3 linked regions of the Cricetulus griseus genome follow. The protein of the gene in region 2 purifies or fractionates together with the protein of the main gene of each other region. This does not show direct contact. Links are inferred from orthologs where the notes say so. Each region holds a gene or a part of one and is shown on either strand. Other genes may lie near its edges.

Evidence for each region. The genes of interacting proteins can lie anywhere in the genome.
Region 1: the proteins of Ptch1 (region 2) and Ccnb1 purify together in Homo sapiens (affinity purification with western blotting; 3 studies listed by BioGRID and IntAct, with this or other methods). This does not show direct contact. The link is inferred for Cricetulus griseus from reciprocal best matches to the Homo sapiens genes PTCH1 and CCNB1.
Region 3: the proteins of Ptch1 (region 2) and Grk2 purify together in Homo sapiens (affinity purification with western blotting; 3 studies listed by BioGRID and IntAct, with this or other methods). This does not show direct contact. The link is inferred for Cricetulus griseus from reciprocal best matches to the Homo sapiens genes PTCH1 and GRK2.

Annotation. Positions count from the first base shown.
Region 1 is NC_048595.1:319,292,145-319,296,390, forward strand, and holds the start of Ccnb1 (G2/mitotic-specific cyclin-B1), read right to left. Parts: upstream 2,801-4,246; 5' UTR 2,665-2,800; coding exon 2,644-2,664; intron 2,181-2,643; coding exon 2,010-2,180; intron 1,917-2,009; coding exon 1,758-1,916; intron 1-1,757. UniProt on the Homo sapiens protein: Essential for the control of the cell cycle at the G2/M (mitosis) transition.
Region 2 is NC_048596.1:281,140,543-281,144,660, forward strand, and holds the start of Ptch1 (protein patched homolog 1), read right to left. Parts: upstream 2,801-4,118; coding exon 2,642-2,800; intron 2,085-2,641; exon of another isoform or gene 1,731-2,084; intron 1,077-1,730; coding exon 884-1,076; intron 399-883; exon of another isoform or gene 292-398; intron 1-291.
Region 3 is NC_048596.1:54,951,817-54,955,928, reverse strand, and holds the start of Grk2 (beta-adrenergic receptor kinase 1), read right to left. Parts: upstream 2,801-4,112; 5' UTR 2,600-2,800; coding exon 2,487-2,599; intron 1-2,486. UniProt on the Homo sapiens protein: Specifically phosphorylates the agonist-occupied form of the beta-adrenergic and closely related receptors, probably inducing a desensitization of them. Key regulator of LPAR1 signaling.

The sequences.
Region 1 (4,246 bases), on a different chromosome or scaffold from region 2:
TTGCTTAGCTGTAAAAAACACTTGTTTTTGCCAAGGGCTAGAGTCTAATTTCTATGCAGGAACCAGGTAACTCAAAATTCTTGCTCCAGGTTATGATGCCCTCTTCTGCCCTCCTTGGGCATTGCACTTAAGTGCAAACCCCTGCCCTACATATGAAAAATAAATCTTTAATTTAAAAAAAAAAAGAAAAAGAAAATTTCAGAGCCAGGCATGATGATACATGCAGTTAATCCTAGTACTTCTCTGTGAATTGAAGCCAGCCTGGTCTCCACAGCAAACTGCAAAGCCAGCCAGGCAGGAATAGTGAGATCTGGATTCATAAAAAGTTAAATCCAAATTTAGACTAAGCCAGTTTAAAATAGGAAGAACTGGACAAGAAGGGTAAAGGTACCAAGCCCCACAACCCATGTGGTGGAAAAACTGACTCAAAAGGTTGTCTTCTGACCTCTACAAGTATGCACTCACATACAAAATACAATGTGGTTTTTAAGGAGCCCTTTCTACTCCAAGGTAAGACCAGAACTCAGATCCTAGCACCCACCTTGGGTGGATGGGTGCGAAAGCACACCCATGTAAAAGAAAGTCAAAAGGAAAAACAGATAGGTAATAAAGCTATTCATCAGCACCAGGTGGAATTAATTCAAACCACGATAAAGCTTTATTCAGGTGAATACAAGCTCTTCCTTAATTACAAAGATGTTAGAGAAAGTGACATAAAGTAAACTGATAAGAACTGTGTGCTACATATACCGGGCAGTGATGGTGCACACCTTTAATGCCAGCATTCGGGAGGCAGAGGCAGGTGGATCTCTGTGAATTCAAGGCCAGTCTGGTCTACAGAGTGCCAGGATAGGTTTCAAAGCTACAGACAAACCCTGTCTCAAAAAACAAGAAAACCAAAACCAAATCAAACCAAAGAGCTGTGTGCTATGTAGCTCAGGCTGGCCTTGAACTTTCAATCCTCCTGCTTTAGCAAAAGTGCTAGAATTGTACCATCACACCTACGAGTAAAATTTGGTGAGGGTGTGTGTCTGTGTTCAAGAACTGAATATGCACTAACAGACAGAGAGCTACAATCCCAGCCAAAACTCCACCCCCCCCCTTTTGAAACAGGGTCTCACTATCTATAGGTCTGGCTGACCCTTGTTATGTAGACCAGGCTCGCCTTGAACTCAGAGACTCACCTGCTTCTACTCCAGACTGCAGGGATTAGAGGTGGCACCACAACACACCCTATTTAACTCATCTAATTTTCTGCCTGAAAAAACTTTATTCTTGTAACAGGTTTATTAATTTAGTGGCCATATTAGGGAGTAGAAGATTCACAAACACATCTGTGTTTCATTCAATTAATTCCGGACAGAGTTGAAATTACAGAACAACAAAAACCTTTAGTTCAGGATGCTACACACATAAGAAAGCAATGAAAAGATCTGGCCTGGTTGCACCATCCCAGCACTGGAGAGGTGGGGGCAGAAGAATGTCAAATCAAGGGTACCAGGGCTACAGTGACAGAGAAAAATGATGAATGATGATGTCCACCTTTGGTCCCAGACCAAACCTCTGAGTTCCAGGCCAGCCAGGAGTACAGTCAGTCTACACAAAACAAAATCCCACATTTATCCTCTGCCATCTGAATTACAGCTAATACCTACTCCAGAGTGTGTAAATAAAAAAGCTTTGCTGAGCATTCAATACTCAAACGCTACCAGTGTGTAGAGGTCAGAGAAGAAGACTTTTTCATATGCTATGTTTACCAAGATAGGTTCAGGAGAAAGCTTTTCCTCCATAACAGGTTCAGGTTCAGGTTCAGGCTCAGCAAGTTCCACCTCTGGCTCACTCACAGGAACCTTCTCCTGAGGTTTTGGTGGTGGGATTTTAGCTGAAACTTTTCCAGTAACTGAGGTTTTTAGTTCCTGTGGAGGGAATGAAGAAAATAGAATGTTTTCCCAAGGGTGACAGCTGGAAGACGGGCTGGTTCAGGATAGCTGAGCCAAGAAGATAGTTACCTTTTTCAGAGGCACTCTTGCCTGTGCCTGTTCGCTGACTTTGTTACCAATATCCCCTAGAGCGGTTCTCGGTCTCAGCCCGGGCTTGGAGGCTGCAGCAATCGCCACAGGCACACGCTTGGCGCCTGTCATGCTGACCTTGGCCTTATTTTCTGTGTTAAGTTTCGTGTTCTGAAAAAAAAGTTAAGACCACTTGAGAGAGGATCTATGGCGGCTCCAGGAAGTCATGGGTTAATTAAGGCGCGACCCAACTGAGGCTCCCTGAAGTAAAGCCAGAGTTTCAGGGTCTAGCCTGGGGACGTGCCACGCAGAGTTTCCACCCAGATTTTCCACATTCATCTATATTCAAATTCCTCTTATGCCCTAAGCCATCCTAAAGACCGCGAATTTACATCGGAAAGGAAACCACGAAAGCCGGAGTTGTGGACATCTCTCTGCGAAGGCGCGGGGCTCACTCTGGGGGCTCCATCACTCAAGTACACCCTTCACTCCTCCCAGTCCTTCAGCCCGGATAGACCCAGTTGGTCGTCCGCTTCCCCACCTCGTCCGGGGCACTCCGGGACCCCACCCCCACCCCCGCATGGCCGTAGCGGTCTTCTCCCGCGGCGACGACAGCAGCTCCCGTCCGGCTCACCCTAGTGACTCTGAGCGCCATGGCTCCTCCTGAAGAAGAGGCTCGGCGACCAGCAGCAAAATCCCTGGCCTCTAGCGGGCCACGGCCAGACACCAACAGCCGTTCCTCCGCAGCACGCCGGGAGGAGTCTGCCGGGCCTGGGTTTAAACCCCGGGCCGCTCCCTCCTCATTGGTCCGTTCATGGCACTCGCTCTCTTCCCATTGGCGCTGCGAGTTCTCGCAGAATGCGTTTCCTGGGCGATCCCGCGACCACGTTCGGCGGGGGCGGGGCCAGAGCGAGGCTGCGGCCCCCGAAGCACCGCCCATCGGGAGCTCGGGCTCCGCGCCTGCGCACTCGCTGCTGTGCAGCCACCTGCTTTAGGTAGGCATGGAATGCACTGCCCACTAGTGTGCCATCCTGGTTAGCCTGGGAGATTGCTTTGGGCCTTAGGGAAAGACTGTGGAGCCGTCACGGTTCAGGAGCACGCACAACAGTTTGGCTGCCCCTCTACTCACTGTTCCTCATCCTCCTCTTCTACAGAAGTGCAGATGCTATCTTAGAATTCCTGAAAGGTTTTGAGACAGAGATGGTCCTTTATTTAATGTGATTTTTTTTTTTTTCCAGTCGGGCGTTGGTGGCGCACGCCTTTGATCCCAGTGCTCCGGAGGCAGAGGCAGACATATCTCTGTGAGTTCAAGGCCACCCTGGCCTACAGAGCGAGTTCCAAGACAGGCTCCAAAGCTACACAGATAAACCCTGTCTCACAACTCTTCGGCTTGCAGTTCTCCATCCTTCTACCTCAGACTCTTTATTAAGGCTTATTAATTTTAGTGATTTTTCCCACATTTATCACTAATAAATCTTATTTATTTTTGACCAGGATCTTAAGCACAGCTTGAGCTGGAACTGCATATATAGCTGAGAATGACCTTAAATCTCCTATTCTCCTCCCTCCACCTCCTCAGTGTGGGACACTAGGTGTACACCACAGCACTGGGTTTATATGACACTGGGGATTGAACCCAGGCTTCAAGCATGCTGGGCAAACACTACCAGTGCAGCTGTATCTCTAGCCCTCTAGTAATCATTGCTATGCAAATTATTATAGTTAGTAAGCAAATACTATATCTTACCATAGTCTTATCATAGCTCACACTGGCCTGGAAGACTATCTTAGACTGGCCTTGGAGTTTATAGTGGTCTTCCTACCTTAACTTCCTGAATGCTGGGATTAAGGGAATGTGCCATCACACCTGGCTAGGACTTTACTTTTAAGAGTAGTTTTAGGCTTTTAGCAGAACTTCACGGAAGTCCAGCATTTTACTGCCCAGCCTCCTCTAGTATTGGCATAGCACGACAGTGAGGTGTGTGTGGTGAATCATACCAGTAATCCTAACACTTACGAGGCTGAGGCAGGATTGCCACGAGTTCAAAGCCAATCTGAGCTATACTGTGAGTTCCAGGTCAGCCTGGCTTTGGAATGAGACCTTGTCTCAACAAAACAATCACCTGCTCCTAACCAGGACATCTATATCAATGCTGTCAGGGCTCAGGGAATATTGTGGGAGAGACAGTAGAAAGAAAGCAAGATTTGGGAGATAGGAAGGAGTTATGTAACAGCAG
Region 2 (4,118 bases):
ACAAGTCCTTTTCTAAAGCAGGTCCCCAACCCCCCAAATCGAAGAACGTGGATAAAAGACCGGCACACACACCCCAGGGGGAGCTCCCGTCGCCCCTCCCATCAAACCTGCATTCTTTAAAAAAACACATTTCTTTCTTGCAAGACTGCCAAACACAGCCTCCCCCCGAATAATTCCATTTAAAAAGTCCCCATCCGCGAGGAAACATTAATCTACTTTGCAAACACGCTTTCCAGTTTGTGCTTTACTATTTTTTCTTCAATCCCCCCACCGCCCCCTTTTTTTTTGTACCTTGAGACAAATGTTTTTTTCCCCCAGAGTTGAAAGCTGTCCAAAAACAGGACCACACACGCGGCCGCCTCCGCAGGCCTGCGCGGCGCCCGCCCCCCGCGCGCCCCGGGGGCGCGCACACTCCCTGCAGCTAGAGGGGTGGCCTTGCCCTCCACCCCCTCTCCTTTCTCCGCAGACGCGGTGGGTGGGTGGGGGGAGGGAAGGAAGCCTATCCCAGCATCCCAGATCCAAGAGGCCTTCCTCCGGCCGCTGGCACCCTGGCCAGAGCCAGGCGGGCGGAGCTGGCGGACCTCAGGGACCACCCCCCTTCGGCCCTGCCGAGTGGTCCGTCCCGCGCAGGGGCCTCGCGCCCCCGCCACTCTCTCCCACCACACCTAGCAAGGCGCAGCGCCCCGAGTAGATTACAGCGAGGCCTTTGTCGGGCGGGCCTGGCTGCAGGCCAGGCATGCAAACAATAAACAGTCGCCCCTGGTGCGGGCAGGGGCTTCGCTGGCCACGGCGAGGCTCTAGGTGCAGGCTGGCAAATATCTTTATCAAACACTGGGAAGGGAAGGAAGACAGAGGACGCGCCAGCGGCGCCGGGGTCTCTTACCTTCCACCCACAGCTCCTCCACGTTGGTCTCGAGATTAGCTGCCTTTAATCCCACAGCGAAGGCCCCAAATATGAGGAGACCCACAACCAAAAACTTGCCGCAGTTTTTTTGAATGTAACAACCCAGTTTAAATAAGAGTCTCTGAAACTTCGCTCTCAGCCACAGCGGTGCTTTCCGGCCGGTAGCCTTCCCCTGGGGACGAAGCAGAAGGGAGGAGTGAACGCCCGGGAGTCGCTAACGGCGGCGCACACCCGCCTGGGGATCCCCCCCCCAACAGTGGGGGGCGTGGGCGGCCGTGGCGCAGGGACTTGCCCTCGGGGCTGGAACCAGGACTAGTCAGAGGGAGCCCTGGAGGCGTGGGGGACTAGGTTGTAAATTAGAGCGAGGCTGCAGCGTGAGAACTGCACTCTAGGTACCACGGGGTATCCCCACGCATGGCCTGAGCACTTTCCTGAATGAGACTTGGGGTGCTGGGGAGAGAGGCTAGCAGAGGAACCGCCAAAGACAGGCAGGCACTAGTATCGAGGACCTGGAGAGAGAGGGCCTGAGTGATCCTAGCTGAGAAGCCCAACACTAAACCACCAGGCCACGACTGCCCCCTTGCCCTAAATCCGGCTCCAGCCTTTGGCCTCCTTGGGTACCCCGGAGGGCGGGTGAAGAGCGCAAGCACACTTAGGGACAATATAAAGCTACCGTGGCCCACCTGGCCCCCGGCCTGGCGGGTGGTTGCACGCGGGGGTCCACGTGGTGAGCCCGGCAGCCGGGTTCACTCCACACACTTTTCCACGGCCTTGGGAGACTCCGCGGGAGCTCAGTTAGGAAGTGCAGCAGCCATCTGCAACTTACACTATTTGTGCTCTGAAGAGGGCGGCCATAAGGATCTTTCCCTCCTCTCCCACTCCCTCCTGGTGAAATCTTTTAAAAAAAAAACAGCCGAGTATACGGGGAAGAGGCCCAGGCTGGCGCCGGCGGGGGTCCTGACTAGGCGCAGGCTGCTGTCGGGATGGCGGAGCCCTGGTGCTGGCCAGGGCCCCAGCGGGCCCCAGGCTAGGTGCTCGCCTTCCCTGGATTCCACACATTTCAGCCAGCCTCGTAAACACAATGAACCCGGCCGTTCCTCACACCAGCACCGAAGATTTAAGGTGGCAACTTGTTTACAACTGCCCTTCTCCCCGGCAGGCTGGGAGAAGAGGCGGCCCAAAACCTGGAAGAGAGGGGACGTCCTCTCCCGAGAATAATTTTTAAGGGAGCAGAGATTTCAAGCTCAAGGAAAGCAGAACCGGCTGCCAAAAAAGGAAACCACCTTTACTTTGGCTCCCTCCCCTCTGCCTCTCTCCGCCTCTCTCCACTCCGCCTCCACCACGAAGAGGTTAAGAAATGTGGCAACGCGGAGGTTTACGCTGCAACGGAGGCAGGGGCGCGGGTGAAGGGCGCTGAGGCCGGGGGCAGTGCTGCACTGCGGCCGCCCTGGAGGTGGTCCACTCAGGACGGTTTCCAAAGCTCCGGAAAAGGCACACCAGGGAGGGCGTGTGCGCGCGCACACACCACACACGCACACACACACGCACGCACGCACCCCTCCACCCCCTGCGGACCTCAGACAGCCCTTTCCTCCGAAGTCCGGAGGGAGGGTTTGAAATTTTCAACCTTCACTTGTCTTCTGCTTTCTCAGGAGGGTGTCTGTGTGCGTGTGTGGCAGGGATCCCAAAGAGGAAGAAGAGGGAAGAGTGGAGGAGGAGGAGGGAACAGACATGCACCTTGGAAATCTGCTCCAGAGCGAAGGCGGCGTCGCAGTAGCTGGGCCGGTGCAGATAGTCCCGGTCCGGCGCGGCGCGATGCGGTCCCCCGGTCCGTCTGCGCCTCCCGCCGCCGGCCTGCCTGCCCAGGGCCCCGGCGGCGTTACCAGCCGAGGCCATGTTGCCGCCGCCGCCGCGGGCTCCGGGCGCGCCTGGGCGCTCGGCTCGCGAGGACGCTGCTGGCCGCCGGGGACTCCGGCTCCGGGTGACAGACCCGCTGCTGCCGCTCACACGGCGGGCGCTGCGGGTGCTGCGGCCGTGGCCGATGCCGGGGACTCAGACCCTGCGCCTTCCATTGCCACATTGCGCGTGAGTCCCGAGGTCTCTGCGGCCGCTGCTGCCCACATCCAGCTCGCGGGAAGGCGAGAGCCGGCGCTTCCAGGGCGCGCCTCGCGGTCCCCAAGTCCCCCCAGACGTCCCCGCCCCGCGCCGCGACCCCTTCACGGCAGAAGGCGCGCGCAGACCCCCGCCACTCGCTCTGGGTCCCTAGGCGCCCGCTGCCGGCGACGCGACGGTGTCCGGCGGATCTCAGCGATGCCGGGCCGGGGCAGCCGCTGCCCCCGCTGCTGCTGCTGCGGCTGAGGTTGGCGGTGGCGGCTTCTGAAGCGGCTGCTCGTTCTCGGACTGCTGGGTTCGCGGTGGCTGCTCGGTCCCGGACTCTGCTTTCTTGTTCTCCTCACCGACCCGCTGGACCATTCTGCCCCCGCGCTGCGCGCCTCTCTCGCTCCCGGGACCTGGGGACTCCGCTCTGTGTGTGTGCAGCGGGCAGCGGCCGCAGCAGCTCCTTGACTCAATAGATGAGATGGAAGAAGAAAAAAAAGAACTCTCTCCATTTGGAGAAAGAGGAGGAGGAGGGGAGGGGGTGGAGGGGGAGAGAGCGAGCGAAAGAGAAAAAGGCTGGAACTCCCGCCCCCGGGGCTGTCAGATGGCTTGGGTTTCTGCGACGCGATTGGCTCGCGGAGGGCAGAAATTACTCAGCAAACATGACTATTATTAGCTGCTTAGCAACAGCTCACCAAAGTAGAGAGACCACCCAGGTAGGCAACCCCCGTGTGTGCATCCCCGGCTTGGGGGGGGGGGAGGACGGACTCGCTCTGCGCCAACCTTCTCTCATGCAATACTTCCATTAAGGAATGCTCCCCTCCTTTCTTTCTTATTTCTTTTCTTTTCAACAGTGTCTTCTTTTTGTGAGACGTCTTTTGCGAGCGCGCGCGCAAACACACACGCACACGTTCACACATACAGGAGCATTTGCCTCGCGATAGACACGGGGGATATGTAATTTTTTTTTAAGCGCTTAAACAATTTCTGAGATTCCTCAAAGAAAACCCTTTTAGAGACATTTTGGCCTCAAGCAGCAGCAAATACTGGGAGGTCCGCCTTGAATTCCCAGGCCTCCACCAATAATGACAGGGCGGTGGATAGTGCGCCCGTGTGT
Region 3 (4,112 bases), about 230 Mb from region 2:
CCTCAAGACCTTGATCATCAGTAAATGAGGAAAATACCACCTGCTGGGTCAGCAGCATACCAGAGTTGTGAAGACAAGGCACTTCACAAATTGGGACATACTGGGCAAATGTGAGACCCAACCATAACTACCTTCAAGGGCAAGAGACATATGCCTCAAGAATGTGCAACATGCATCACAAAGGTGACTGCTTTCCATCGTGGGAGGCTTGCATGCCTAGGGCCACGGCCACTGCAGGGTGACTCCAGGTCCTTTCCTGGCCTGAGCATACCAGTGTTCAGAGTTAAGAGGTTCCTCACCATCCAGACTGAGCAACTGGATCAACAACATAGTGCTGATGGTGCCCTGCCCTTGTACCAATGCCTATGGTGCCGTCGTTGCTTCCTAAAACTCACAGCCTGCCTCCATTCTGCTCACAGACTATCACCCCATCCTGGTACTGTTTACAACTAGTCCACATAGGCATGGCCCTGCCAACTTCACACGATGGTTTTTGGATTAACTAAGATGACAGATGTCAAAATAAATAATGTATTATTAAAAACTCCATTCTCATTGCTGTCACATCGCCACTGCCACCAAATGAAAGGGGAAAGGGGAAGAGGCACAGCTCATTCATCAGGGTTCTAATGCCTGCAGAAGACACTCAAGGCAGGGCCCAGTAGGAGAAATGCATTCTGGGGAAAGATTATCCAAATATGGAGAGTTCTAGAAAAAGGCACCACCTCAAACTTTGCAGACCTCACACCTGCACAAGACTCTCATGGCTGTGGCTGCCCAGAAGAGATAGACAGTGCCCTAGATGCTAACTGCAAGCCTCCCCCTTCTCTTCCCTTGAAGTTTTGTCATTTCTGAACTCATTTCGTCCTAACTGCCGCTGCCCCTAGACAGCCCTGGCTGACACTCGTCTAGTTCCTGTTTTGAGAAATCTGATTGCAAATGTCTTAGAAAAAAAGGGGGGGGCAACGGCCTCTTCGAAACGCAGACCAATTTTTCCTCTACGGGCCTGATTCTCAGTCAACCCGAAACCCAGTAAGCAGCCACTGGAGGAGGGGCATGGTAAGTGTACAACAGCATCCCTGTAAGCTGCCAACCCTGCTCCAACAACTGGGGCCACCAGAGGCCTATTTCATACTGCCCACATTTCACAGAGGTAAAAATCAAGGTCTAAAAGGAAAAGAACTTGCCCCATGTCTTGTGATAAGAGTATGGTGGTAAAGTCAGGAACAATTCTTGGCTGCTAAAGGGACTGTCATGAAAAACTTCTGGGACTGACCTCACCACCCATCCACCATAAGGCATCCTGATGTGTAGAAGACACATCTGCTTTTCCAGACGCAGGACATCCAGGCCATCCTTCAGGTCAAGACAGTGAACAAAAGATACAACTAGAAGCCCTGATGTGGAGGTTGGGTGACACTGAACAAGCCATTCAAGGGGGAGCTGTACCCCCGCCACACACACACACACAAACCTTGTTCTATGGGCACAAAACTACACCTGTCTCACTCACTCTCTGGTCTCCTGTGAGTTCAAATGGGAAGGTAAGTCTATTTGCCACAATATACTGGACAAACCCCAGCTACACTTCTCACATCCTGCCCGATTCTGCACCCACATCCTGAACAGTTTAAACTTTGATACCAGGTGCAATGACATCAGTTGTCTTGCAGAAAGGTGGCAGCACGGTCCAGCTACTGTAGGATGGGCTGTCCCCTCGTCAAAAGTACCTACAAGGCACCACATGGGGAGAAAACGGAGAAGGGACTACCCTCACCTGAGCACAGCCCCGAGGGATGGTAGACACATCACACAGCACTGTCCCCCCAAAGTACTCTCAAATCCAAGCCAGGGGCAGTGACACTACCAGATGAGAAGGCAAAAAAAAAAAAAAAAAAAAAAAAAAGTCTCCAGACTGGTCCTCCCTACTCCACAAACCGAACAAGAGTGTTACCCACTCTGAGGGGAGTGGATAGGACAGTGGAACGCCAAAGAGGGGGGTGCTGGGAGCAGGAGCAACAGACTGGGTAAACAGAGGCAGACCTGGGGAAAGGAACCCCAAGGGGACACAAAGGGTGGAGGGCAGAGTCCAGCACCCAGGGTGGGAAGACAGCTGCAGCAGAGCTAGGGGCTGACAGCGACCAGGCCCAGCAGTGAGATACAGGAAGCGGTAGCGCGGCCGGGAGAGCGCGATGGGAGCTTGGAGTTGGGGCGCTCCGGGCTCGCAGGCACCGGGCCTTGCGGTGGCAGGGAGAGAGGAAGTCCCCGGGTCCTGGGGCGGCCCGGATAGTGGGGTCTCCGGAGCAGAAGATCCGGGAGTATGGGGGTCCCCGGGTCCTGGGGCGGCCCGGATAGTGGGGTCTTTGGGGCAGAGGGTCACCGGAGCAGGGGGAGTCCCCGGGGCCTGGGGCGGCGGGGAGAGAGGGGTCCCCGGGGGCATGGTACCCGGGTCGGCGCGTGGGGCCCGGCAGAGGCGGGCTCCTCACCTGGGCTCTGGAAGCAGGATCTTCTTGCTGGCGCGCGCGGCCGGCGTGGCCTTGCTCTTCTCCATGGCCATCAGGTAGCTCACATCGGCCAGCACCGCCTCCAGGTCGGCCATCTTGGCGGCGGCGGCGCTGTTCCTCCCGCCGCCCGAGGCTCCGCTCCGCTCCCGCTCGCTCGGCCCGGCTCGGCCCGCGCGGCTTGTCGGCCTCGGCGCCGCCGCCGCCCCGTCCGGTCCCCGCTCGTCGCCTGCTCACAGGCGCCGCCGCCCCATGGCGCCGGCTCGGGCCCGGCCCGGCTCGCGCTCCGCTCCCGCCGGGACTGCAGTCGGGGGCCGCCGCCGCCACCACCACCACCACCCGCCCTCCCTCCGCCCGCCCGCGCCCGGAGCTGCCGCCGCCGCCGCCGCCGCCTCCGGCCCCGCTGCCGCGCACAGCGCCAGCGAGCCGCCGAGGGGCCGAGCCGGGCGGGCGGCGGGCAGGCGGGCGGCAGCGCCCCCTAGAGGCCGCGCTGCTCGGGTCCGGGACAGGGACGCGGATCGCAGTCCTGGGCTGTTACCTGAGTCCTGCACCCAGGACTCCGGGACGACCCTAGGGGATGGCCACAAACTGGGATCGCATCTCCTCAGGAGGCTAGACTCCATGCTCCCAGCAGGGCGTGGACCCCAGACCGTGGACGATAATAAGAATCCTGACACCGACCAAGATCCCAGACTCAGATTTCAGAACATTTTCTCAGGATCACACTAACATAAACACCTCGGACCCCAGACCTCGGGTGACAATACTATGAACATTTTGCTGTTGTTTTCCTTATTTTTAGACAGGGTATTGATTGCCATGTAGTCCTTGGTGTCCTGTAACTCACCACGTAGACCGGGCTGGCCACTAACTCACAGAGCTCTGCCTGCCTCTGCCTCCCAAGTGCTGAGATGGATTAAATTGTGTGAGCTACCAAACCACACTCCGATGAGGGCTGAACTTTTTTTTTATTCCATTATTTTTTATTTACTTACTTATGCACATATGGAGGTCTGAGGACAGACAATTTGACAATCAGTGCTCTCTTTTTTTTTAACCACTTGGGTGCCTAGGGATGGAACTCAGATCCTCAGGCCTGGTGGCCTTCTAAGTGCCTCCTTCTATCGTAACCAACTACTGCCTATTCTGTCCTTCCATTACTTGAGAAGCAGAGGCAGGTGTCTTTCTGTAAGGTCAAATCCAGGCAGTGCTAAATAGTGAGACCATATCTCAAGCAAACAAATGAAAAAAAAAAAAATTAGGGGCTGGAGAAATGGCTCAGAGGTTAAGAGCACCGACTGCTCTTCCAGAGGTCCTGAGTTCAATTCCCAGCGACCACTGGTGGCTTACAACCATCCGTTATGAGATCTGGTGCCCTCTTCTGGTGTGCAGACATACATGGAAGCAGAATGTTGTATATATAATAAATAAATAAAATCTTTAAGAGCACCTTTCTGATTTCCAAACGTGCCTGGGCTCTTCAAACCCAGCTCTGGACACTTAGAAACTGATTCTTGTTCCAGTTCACAGACCAGCAAAACAAGTACCCCTACTTCCTTTGCTCTTCTTCACTGCTTTGGATCAATACAAATCAGATGGGGGGGGGTTATC